Linked DNA regions of Sus scrofa. The protein of the gene in region 2 interacts with the protein of the main gene of each other region in a biochemical or structural test. Links are inferred from orthologs where the notes say so. Each region holds a gene or a part of one and is shown on either strand. Other genes may lie near its edges.

Region 1 (3,667 bases), about 38 Mb from region 2:
AGGCCTCAGTTTCTCTTCTTACGAAACCACTCAGATATGCAAACACTTGAAAGAATCATGTATCAAATACCTGCATTTAAGTATCAAACATGACACGTACCATCGAGGGTCCCTGAACTCGTTCCCAGGCATCCTTCGCCTCTGGCCTGCAGTAACCGCTCTCCTGAGTGACAGGGTCTGCTGTTCTCAGTTGTCAGCAATTATAATCTGCTCCGAGCCCCTTGGATCCACCTTTTTAGCCTTAGTCCATCTGCTGGTTTGTCCAGATTTATACCCAGGAATTTGCTAGGCAAGGGGACACACCATCTTCAGCTTTGCTGATGTTGCCAGATTATCCTCCGAGTGGTTGTACCAACATAACTTTGTTGGTAAACCGTCTGGCCCAGGCATAAAAGTGCCTCTGCCCTTTTTTATTTCCTCCGAATAAAATATTTTAACAGCACGGTTTTTTTTTTTTTTTTTTTTTTTTTTTTTTTTTTGGCCACACCAGCAACATGTCGAAGTTCCCGGGCCAAGGATCAAACTCATACCACAGCTGCGACCCCAAGCCACAGCAGTGACCACACTGGCTCCTTAACCCAATGCACCACCAGGGAACTCCTTAACATCCCTTATTGATGTCTAGTTTGTCTCTGCCCCTCCCCAGACATCCCTCCCCCACTTCTCCAAAGGGCCTCTCACAACCTCCCCACTTAGAGCAAGGGCGCTGGTGGCAATAATCCCGGAGGCCAAGAGGCACAGATCTCAGCCCAGATTTGCCACTTTGGCTGTGTGCCTCTGGGCAAATCGCTTCTCCTCTCCGAGCCTGTTTCCTCACCTACAAAACCGGGAAACGCACAGTAATCCACAACAAGGGGCGTGACAACAACTACAGAAGCATGGAAATGCGGCAGGCACTCCACAAGGGAGCTGTTTCTATTACCTTTGGTGCCCACAGAGGATGCCAACAACTTTGCGTCTCACTCAGGACTACTCTGGTTGTATGCGACACAAACCCCAAGTCAAGGCGATGGAAGAAAACTGGTCATTTATTGGCCCGAGTAACTGAAGTCTGAGGGGCTATCTTGCTTCAGGTGTGACTGGATCCAGGTGTTCTGACACCACCAGGAAGCCGGCCAGCCCTGCCCGCCTCCGGGCTGTCTCTCCTCCATCATTCTCAGGAGGCACTCCAGGCATGGGCCCCAAGGACCACATTCCCCAGCTGCACGACTGCCGTGAAGAGAAAGAGCTGCTTCTTCCTGACATTTGCTGCCCATGTCCAGCGCTGGGCCTCACTCTGGCCAGGTGGTCACTTGCTCACGTCGGAACCAGTCACAACGACCAGGATGTCCTCCAGATCCTGCTACTGGGGATGGGGGGTGGGGCGGGCGTCTCGGAGCAGCAGCAGAACCAGTCGGGCGCTCCTTTGAAACACAGAGTCTCAGGCTCCATCCCAGCTCGACTGAAGCAGAGTTTGCATTTTAGCCAAACCCCCAGGGGAGCCGCCTGCACAAGTCTGAAGAGGACGTCACTGTCCATTAACTTTTTCAGTTGCGGAGGCAATTTTTAAAGTTCTGTTTTATTAAGAACCACAAAATGTAGGCCCTAAGAAAGCCGTTTGTGGTTGTCAAGTCCACCCGCTTGTTTTAAAGAGGGAGAAACTGGGGGCCAGCAGGGAAGGGTCTCCTCTAGACGCCCACCCAGTGCTTCCCTTCCGAGGACTAACTCGTGGAGAGACATGTCAGAGCCCAGAAGGCCCAGCCGGGGTTGGAACTGCCTCATTCGAGAGGTGACGTGTCCCACGCTTCGTTCAATTACACACACACCCAGTCAGGGACCCGGGAGCATGTGAGGATGGAGACCCAGAAGCACGCATGCGCACAGGCGCCTGCGCATGCGCGAACACACTCCCGCATGCGCACACAGACCCCCCCAGACCCCGCCCACCCTCGCTCCGACTCTGACCCACTAGGCACCCCCTCAAAGCCAAGATCACTGCAGACCACACCAGCCTTTATTCTATTACAGAGTAGGGCTGGGGCCAGGGTACTTCATTCTCAGGCTGCGTCAGAAGGTGCGGAGTATTGGGGCCACATGGACTGGACCCCGAAGTGACAATAAGTTAGGGGAAAAATTCTCAGACTGTTGTCAGGCTGGAGCCGGGGCAGGGTGGGGCTCTACAAAGCCACTGCCAGCTGCTGGGCTCAGCACTCCTGGGCAAGGCTGGTTCCGGAACAGGCACACTGAAACACAATAGGACAGAGAGAGAGGGAGGGGTGATGAGGTCAGGAGGCTGGTAGAGGTCAGAGAGGAGAGGGCTGAGATGGCGGGAGGGCAGGGAAGGTCGAGGGCCCGAAAGTTCAGGGCAGGGCTGCGCTGGGCGGGGCCTCTCACCAGGCCCTCAGTTAAGCTGCAGATTCTCGTAATCTGGAGCTTCTTCATCCTCCACCTCCTGGGAACGCACGGTGGCTGTGAGGGAAGCGGAGGTTGGTCTCCAGCTGGCAATCCCCACCCCACCTCCGCAGAGGCAGCTCCCCCAGTGTCTGCCCCACGTCCCCCCAACACACACCAGGCTTGGTCTTGGCCACGGGCTGTAGCTCCTGGGACACGTTCACATACTCCCGGCTCCCATCTGTGGGGACAGGTCAGAAGGAGGGACGGCCATACCCAAAGGGCGGCAGGCCCCATTGAGGGTGAGAGAGGAGGACACCCGATCAGAGGGTGAGGGAGTCACAGGGGGCTGTGGGCATCCCAGGGCTGGGGTGAGCGTGGGGATGGGTGCTGGGGATGAGGGTGAGGAGGGAAGGTAGACCCCAGGAGGGCGCCGGGGGCTCAGCCACTCACTTAGAGACGCATCTGCACTCTCCTCACTCTCAGGAACGTTCACGTAATCTTCCCCGGACTCCACTGTAGCAAAAGCACCAGTGCCCCCGGCACTGTTACCCAGAGCCCCCAAGTACAGACACCCCGAGACTCCCAACCACAGCCATCAAAGACTTTCCACGTGACCAGACCAATGAGACTCCTACACACAGATACCCCCTGCCCCCAGAGACCATCCCCACAGTCAGTCCCAGAGGGGTGGGGGGAGGGCAGTTTGGACCGGAGATGCTGGTGGCGATGGAGGAAAGTAGGATACCTTGGTCAAAACCGACTAGAGGGAATAGAATTGTGGGAGAAGAGACAGCAGACCTCCAGGTGACCCCCTAGCATGTCCTCCAGGTTGGGGAGCAGCTCAGGGTGATGGGGCTGGGTGCCATGTGTGAAGAAAACAATACCCAGGGCTGGGCTCACTTAAAGGCGCCATTAGCCCCGCTGCCCTTCCTCCTTAGCCAGGCCTGCCCAGACACCCGCTCCTGTCCTTGTCCCTTCCTAGCACCTGTCGCCATTGTCGGCATTTTATTCGTGCTGACTTATTTCTCCACGAGGATGTAGACAAGGCAGGCTTCCAAACCAGACTGCCCAGGTTCAAGTCCAGCTCCAGCTTTAACTTACTGTGTAACCTCAGACAAGCTACCTCACTTCTCTGGGCCTCAGTTTTCTCACCTGTAAAATAGGGTGAGGAATGGTACCCACTGAGGCATCGTGAAAACTAAAGCAGTGAATTAAAACAGGGCCTGTGGTACAGGAAGGGCTGCCAAGCTTCTGTTAAAAAAAAAAATAACTGTACCGATGGGGCAAAAGAGGG
Region 2 (5,082 bases):
CCCCTCCACCCAAAAGTGTTTTATGACTCCCCTTGCTCCCTCCACATCTGAACACCTCCTCTGTCCTTCCAGGGGCCCATCCTCCCGCATCACAGCCCTGATGGCCAAGTCTGAGTGCTGTTTTCTCCTCTGTCTCTGACCAGCCCGGGCTCCCCAAAGCACCTACACCTGTCTTGTTTTCACTGCAGCTCCTGCTTCCTCCCAAAAAATATTTGTCAAACAGCAACAATAACAATAATCTCCTTGCCAAAGACTTTACTATATCTCTTCTTTTTCTTTTTTTTTTTTTCCTCTTCTGGCCACTCCACAGCACATGGAGTTCCCGGACTAGGGATCAGATCCAAGCCACAGTCTTGACCTAAGCTGCAGCTATGGCAACGCCAGATCCCTAACCCACTGTGCCAGGCTAGGGATCCAACCTGAGTCCCAGAATTTCCAAGATGCCCCTACCCCATTGTGCCACAGCGGAAGCTCCTCCTACACCTCTTCTGAGCATTAGCCAGTTAATCTAGTTCTCACTGCCGCTCCATTAAATGGGAATCCCCATTCCTCAGCGAAAGAAACTGAGGCTCAGAGAGTTTAATTTCATGTTCAGAATCATGTCGCTTGCAAGTGGCAGTCAGGATGTGAACCATGTGTCAGCCCAGTGGTGCAAGTGGCAGTCAGGATGTGAACCATGTGTCTGCCCAGTGGCTGGCACTAACCACTGTAGGGAGTGTCCATTAGGAGAGCAGAATCCACAGCTCTGAGCTGGGTCCCCAGAAGGGCTCCCACCCCAGCCTGGCCTGGGTGCTGCTACACTTGGATCTGCCTTCAGGGACAGTCAGGGCAGACTGCTGAGCTGCTGCGGAGTGAAAGGCAGGTCCTCAAACCTCAAGCAGACTGTCTGTTGACTGACTGAACGATGTCACAAGATCAAACCCCCCTCCCCAACTCCAACTTCTGCTACCAGGGTCTTAAGTGCTGTGGAAACCCAGCAAGGGGCCATCCCTCTCTTGGTGTCAGGCTCTGTGACTGTCAAAGGGTGATGGGGAAAGATTTAAAGGATGGAAAAGGCAGGATGAGTGGGGAGGACAGAGCCAGACAGCACACTGTAGGATGTTTAGCAACATCTCTGGCCTGTATCTTACTAGACGCCAGTAACACCCGAGTCATAACCAAAAATGTCTCCAAAAATGTTATTGAATGTCCCCAGTGAGTGGGGATGGGGGAGGTGAAATTGGCTCCAGTTAAGAAGCACTTCCTGGAGTTCCCATCGTGGCACAGAGGAAATGAATCCGACTAGGAACCATGGGGTTGCGGGTTCAATCCCTGGCCTCACTCGGTGGGTTAAGGATCCGGTGTTGCCATGAGCTGTGGTGTAGGTCACAGACATGGCTAGGACCCTGCATTGCTCTGGCTGTGGTGTAAGCCGGCAGCAACAGCTCCGATTAGACCCCTAGCCTGGGAACCTCCATATACCGCAGGTGTGGCCCTAAAAATCAAAAACAAAAAAAAGCAAGCACATCCTTAACCCTGGCCTCACTTCAATCCCTGGCCTCACTCAGTGGGTTAAGGATCTGGTTTGGGAGAGTCTCCAGGGGCTATGAGACCACCCAGAGCTAGGGATCATACTTGAGACTACACCAATATGCTTACACAGCACCTACTGTGTGCCAGGCACTCTAGATAGATTAACTCCCTAATCCTCGAGAGAACACTGTATGTGGAGGATTTGTGGATTTGGGACATGAAGACACAGAGGAGGAGGGACTTGCCCAAGGTCACATAGCACACAAAGGAGGTGGTAGAGCCAGGCCTCCTGGCTCCAGAGAATACACCGAAACACCATCCCGGCTGTCTGCCTGCCCAGCATCCTTGCCAGGGCTGTGTGGTGAGGCAGGAGAACAAGCAACAACAGGAAAAAGCAGCCCTGCATTGGCAGGAGAAAAGCTTCACAGGTGACACCTAAGGACTTTCCGTCCCATAGTCCCTGACCCTAATCTCAAAGTTTTATTAAGCACCTACTGTGTACTCACTACCCTGAGACAAGGGTAATGAAGCTCATCTTGAGCCGTTCACCACATGAGCTTCCCTGTTCCTTCCTGCCAAGACCCTTTCCTGCCTGGAACAGCTTTCCAACCTCTCACCCAACAGTTAGGAGCCAAGCACCTAGTAGGTGCCAACAATTGCATCCGCCTTTAACAGATGTGCAGAGGTTCCGAGAGGCCAAGCAACTTGCCAAGGACACACAGCAATTGAGCAGGATTAGAACTGTTTGCTCCTTTGCCTCTCTGTTTCGCCTTTAACCTGAGCTCCTCTACAAAGCTGGAGCCTGCCCTGGGTCCCCTCATGGGACTCATCAGCATTTTGATGTTCAAGTTCATGGCTCTGTTGAGCCACCTTCATTTTCATGGACCTGGGGGCCAGAGCACATGGTTGTTTTCTCTGGAGGTTTCTCTGCTTCCTGGGGCCCTACAGGAGGCTAGGGACTGAGCAGGCATCTCTGTGGCCCCCGGATAGAGGTATCTTCTACCACTTGGCTGACCATCTGGAGGGAGATCTGCTTAGGATGGCCACCAGCCGTGTCTACTTCCTTCTCCAGCTGGACACCACCCATCAGAGTCCTGTAGCCCTTCAGGTACCCCCAGTGTCCTCCTGACTCTGTCCTCCTCCACCAGACCCAGGCCACCCCTGCAGACAGCAGTTCCAGCCAGGTGCTGCTCCATCCAGGATGACTTACCTGGGGATGTGCCAATGGAGGTCAAGGCACAGGCCACCTGCAAGGTCTCTGGTCTTCAGTTCCAAAGCCCACAGCAACTGGTTCTAGATGAAGAATCAGGGCCCAAGAAACCAACTTGAGTTGCTCTGCAGCCTGAGCCCCCAGCCTGAGGCCCCTGCCGGCTAATCACCCACTCACTCACCCCGGCAAGGTGTAAGGAGGCCCTGCCCCACCAGGGTTTCTCACTCGGGGTGGAAGGGGGAGCGGAATTGGCTTCACCCACTGCCGGCAGCCACAGAAGGCCCTGCGGTGGCCGTGCTGGCCCAACAGAGGCAGAAGACGGGAGAACAGCAACCCACCTGGACACGCAGCAGAGCACGGAGGCCCGAGCTGGGCAGGGACCCAGTGCGGAAGGCCTGATGCACTCCTGGCAACAGGTTTCTCTGAAACTCAGCCTATTTCCTTGATGTGGAGACAGGAAAGCGGGCTGTGTTTGAAGTTTACGTCAAAGTCACAAAGTGCTGTGTTCAAGGAAAATCGCGGGCCACGTGCTCTGGGGAGGGCAGAGGGCATTTCCGGGGCCCAGCAGAGTCTGCTCTGGTAGTGGTGGCAGAGGGGAGCGGTGGGCGAGGCTAGCTGCAGGCAGGGGTTATGCAAGAATGATGGCTCCAAGAGCACACCCCTAACTTGGGGAGAAGGGAAGGGAGCTGTGAGGCCGAATGAGGTGGTGTAGTGGCAGTGGGAGGGGGATCCCCAGGACTCGCTGGAAACTAGAAAGCCCCCAGTTTCCCCTCCAATGGAGGCATGGACCCAGGGCCTGTCCCTGGATGAATTGCTCATATGAGTGACTGATTCATTCCACCAGCAGATTAAAATTGGAGGGAGAAGTAATCTCCCAAGTTGGTCTACACCGCAAAGGTTCGAAGCACCTCCTGTGTGCCAGACATCAGGCCAACAATGCCAGCCCTGTCCCTGCTCTCGAATGGGACACAGGCCAGACGAGGGGACAGCTGAGTCACCAGGAAGACCAGGGCTGGGATGGCGGAGGCCTGGACACAGTGTACACAGAGGGGCCCAGTGCAGCCCAGGGGGTATCAGGGCTGGATTCAGAGAAGGATTGGTTTTGTCATCAAGACATGGAGATAGCGTGGGCCCCAATGCCCACCAACCACTGCTGGGCCCACACACCGCCCCTGGCTGCTCACTGCCTCTTCCTCATCCTTTATCCCTCCTCATACTCACTCACCCTCTGACCATGTGACCACACCTCATGCTCCCCCAGCAGCCTGCAGAGCTGGCGGCTTGCAGGGCTGAGGCCTGTCCCCACATTCATTCTGCTCCATCTCCCCCCATCCCACCCCAGTGCTTCGGACACCCTCTCACCATACTTCCTGGCCCCCTTGGACATGCGGGGTCCTCTTCAGTGGCTGGCCACCCATGGGGCCTCAGGGACCCGCGAGGGGCTGTCCTAGGCCCACTGTTAAGATCCCAAGAAGCTTTCTTCTCTGGTGCCTCCACCCTGAGGGAAGCCCAGCTCCCCAACCAGCCTGACGTTTCCTCCGCACTTTACCCCCGTCTCCTTTTCTGGTACCCTCTCCCCACTCTCTACTACTCTCCCTTCCCTAAAGCCCCCTCTCCCTACTCAGGGAATCTTTTTTCTTTCCTTTTTAGGGCTGCAGCTGTGGCATATGGAAGTTCCCAGGCTAGGGGTCGAATCAGAGCTGCAGCTGCCAGTGTACACCACAGCCACAGCAACACAGGATCTGAGCTGCATCTGCGACCTACACCACAGCCCACGGCAACGCCAGATCCCAGCCTCATCCTCAACCTAACCTGCAGTGCTCGGCAATGCCAGATCCTTAACCCACTAAGTGAGGCCAGGGATCAAACCCGCATCCTCACAGACACTATATCAGGTTCTCAACCTGCTAAGCAATGGGAACTCCAAGAAATCTTTTTTCTAAGCTCCAGGCTGGGATACTTTTCTCCTGCAGAGATTTTCCCCAAAATTGTTTTTGTTAGAAGCCTTCCTTTTCCCCACAGATATTGTGAGATTCAGGGTACAGAAAAAGTCTTTGTTTCCACACTGGGTACTCCTTTCCTGGGAAATGAGAGAAGAACGCCCTGGCAGACTGAAGAGGGGAGAAATCACAGCCTCAGAACCACATAATCTACCATAATAACCGTAGCACTTACTATGGGTCACACAAACTTGTAAGCAGTTTGCAATTTAACCCATTGAATCCATTTTCCAGATAAGGTAAGTGAAACCCACAGAGGTTCAATAACCGACTCCAGGAGCTCCTGCTATGGTGCAGTGGGTTAAGAATCACAGTGGCGTAGGTCGCAGCTGTGGCTTGGATTCAATCCCTGGCCCTGGA

The links.
Region 1: of the proteins of tyrosine-protein kinase ZAP-70 (region 2) and LAT, one has a biochemical effect on the other in vitro, tested with the Homo sapiens proteins (2 studies listed by BioGRID). The link is inferred for Sus scrofa from reciprocal best matches to the Homo sapiens genes ZAP70 and LAT.

What each region holds. Positions count from the first base shown.
Region 1 is NC_010445.4:18,641,695-18,645,361, reverse strand, and holds the end of LAT (linker for activation of T-cells family member 1), read right to left. Parts: intron 2,887-3,667; coding exon 2,824-2,886; intron 2,612-2,823; coding exon 2,549-2,611; intron 2,449-2,548; coding exon 2,381-2,448; 3' UTR 2,374-2,380; intron 2,223-2,373; 3' UTR 1,009-2,222; downstream 1-1,008. UniProt on the Homo sapiens protein: Required for TCR (T-cell antigen receptor)- and pre-TCR-mediated signaling, both in mature T-cells and during their development.
Region 2 is NC_010445.4:56,538,575-56,543,656, forward strand, and holds the start of tyrosine-protein kinase ZAP-70, read right to left. Parts: upstream 3,233-5,082; 5' UTR 3,061-3,232; exon of another isoform or gene 2,904-3,060; intron 2,806-2,903; 5' UTR 2,723-2,805; intron 1-2,722. UniProt on the Homo sapiens protein: Tyrosine kinase that plays an essential role in regulation of the adaptive immune response. Regulates motility, adhesion and cytokine expression of mature T-cells, as well as thymocyte development.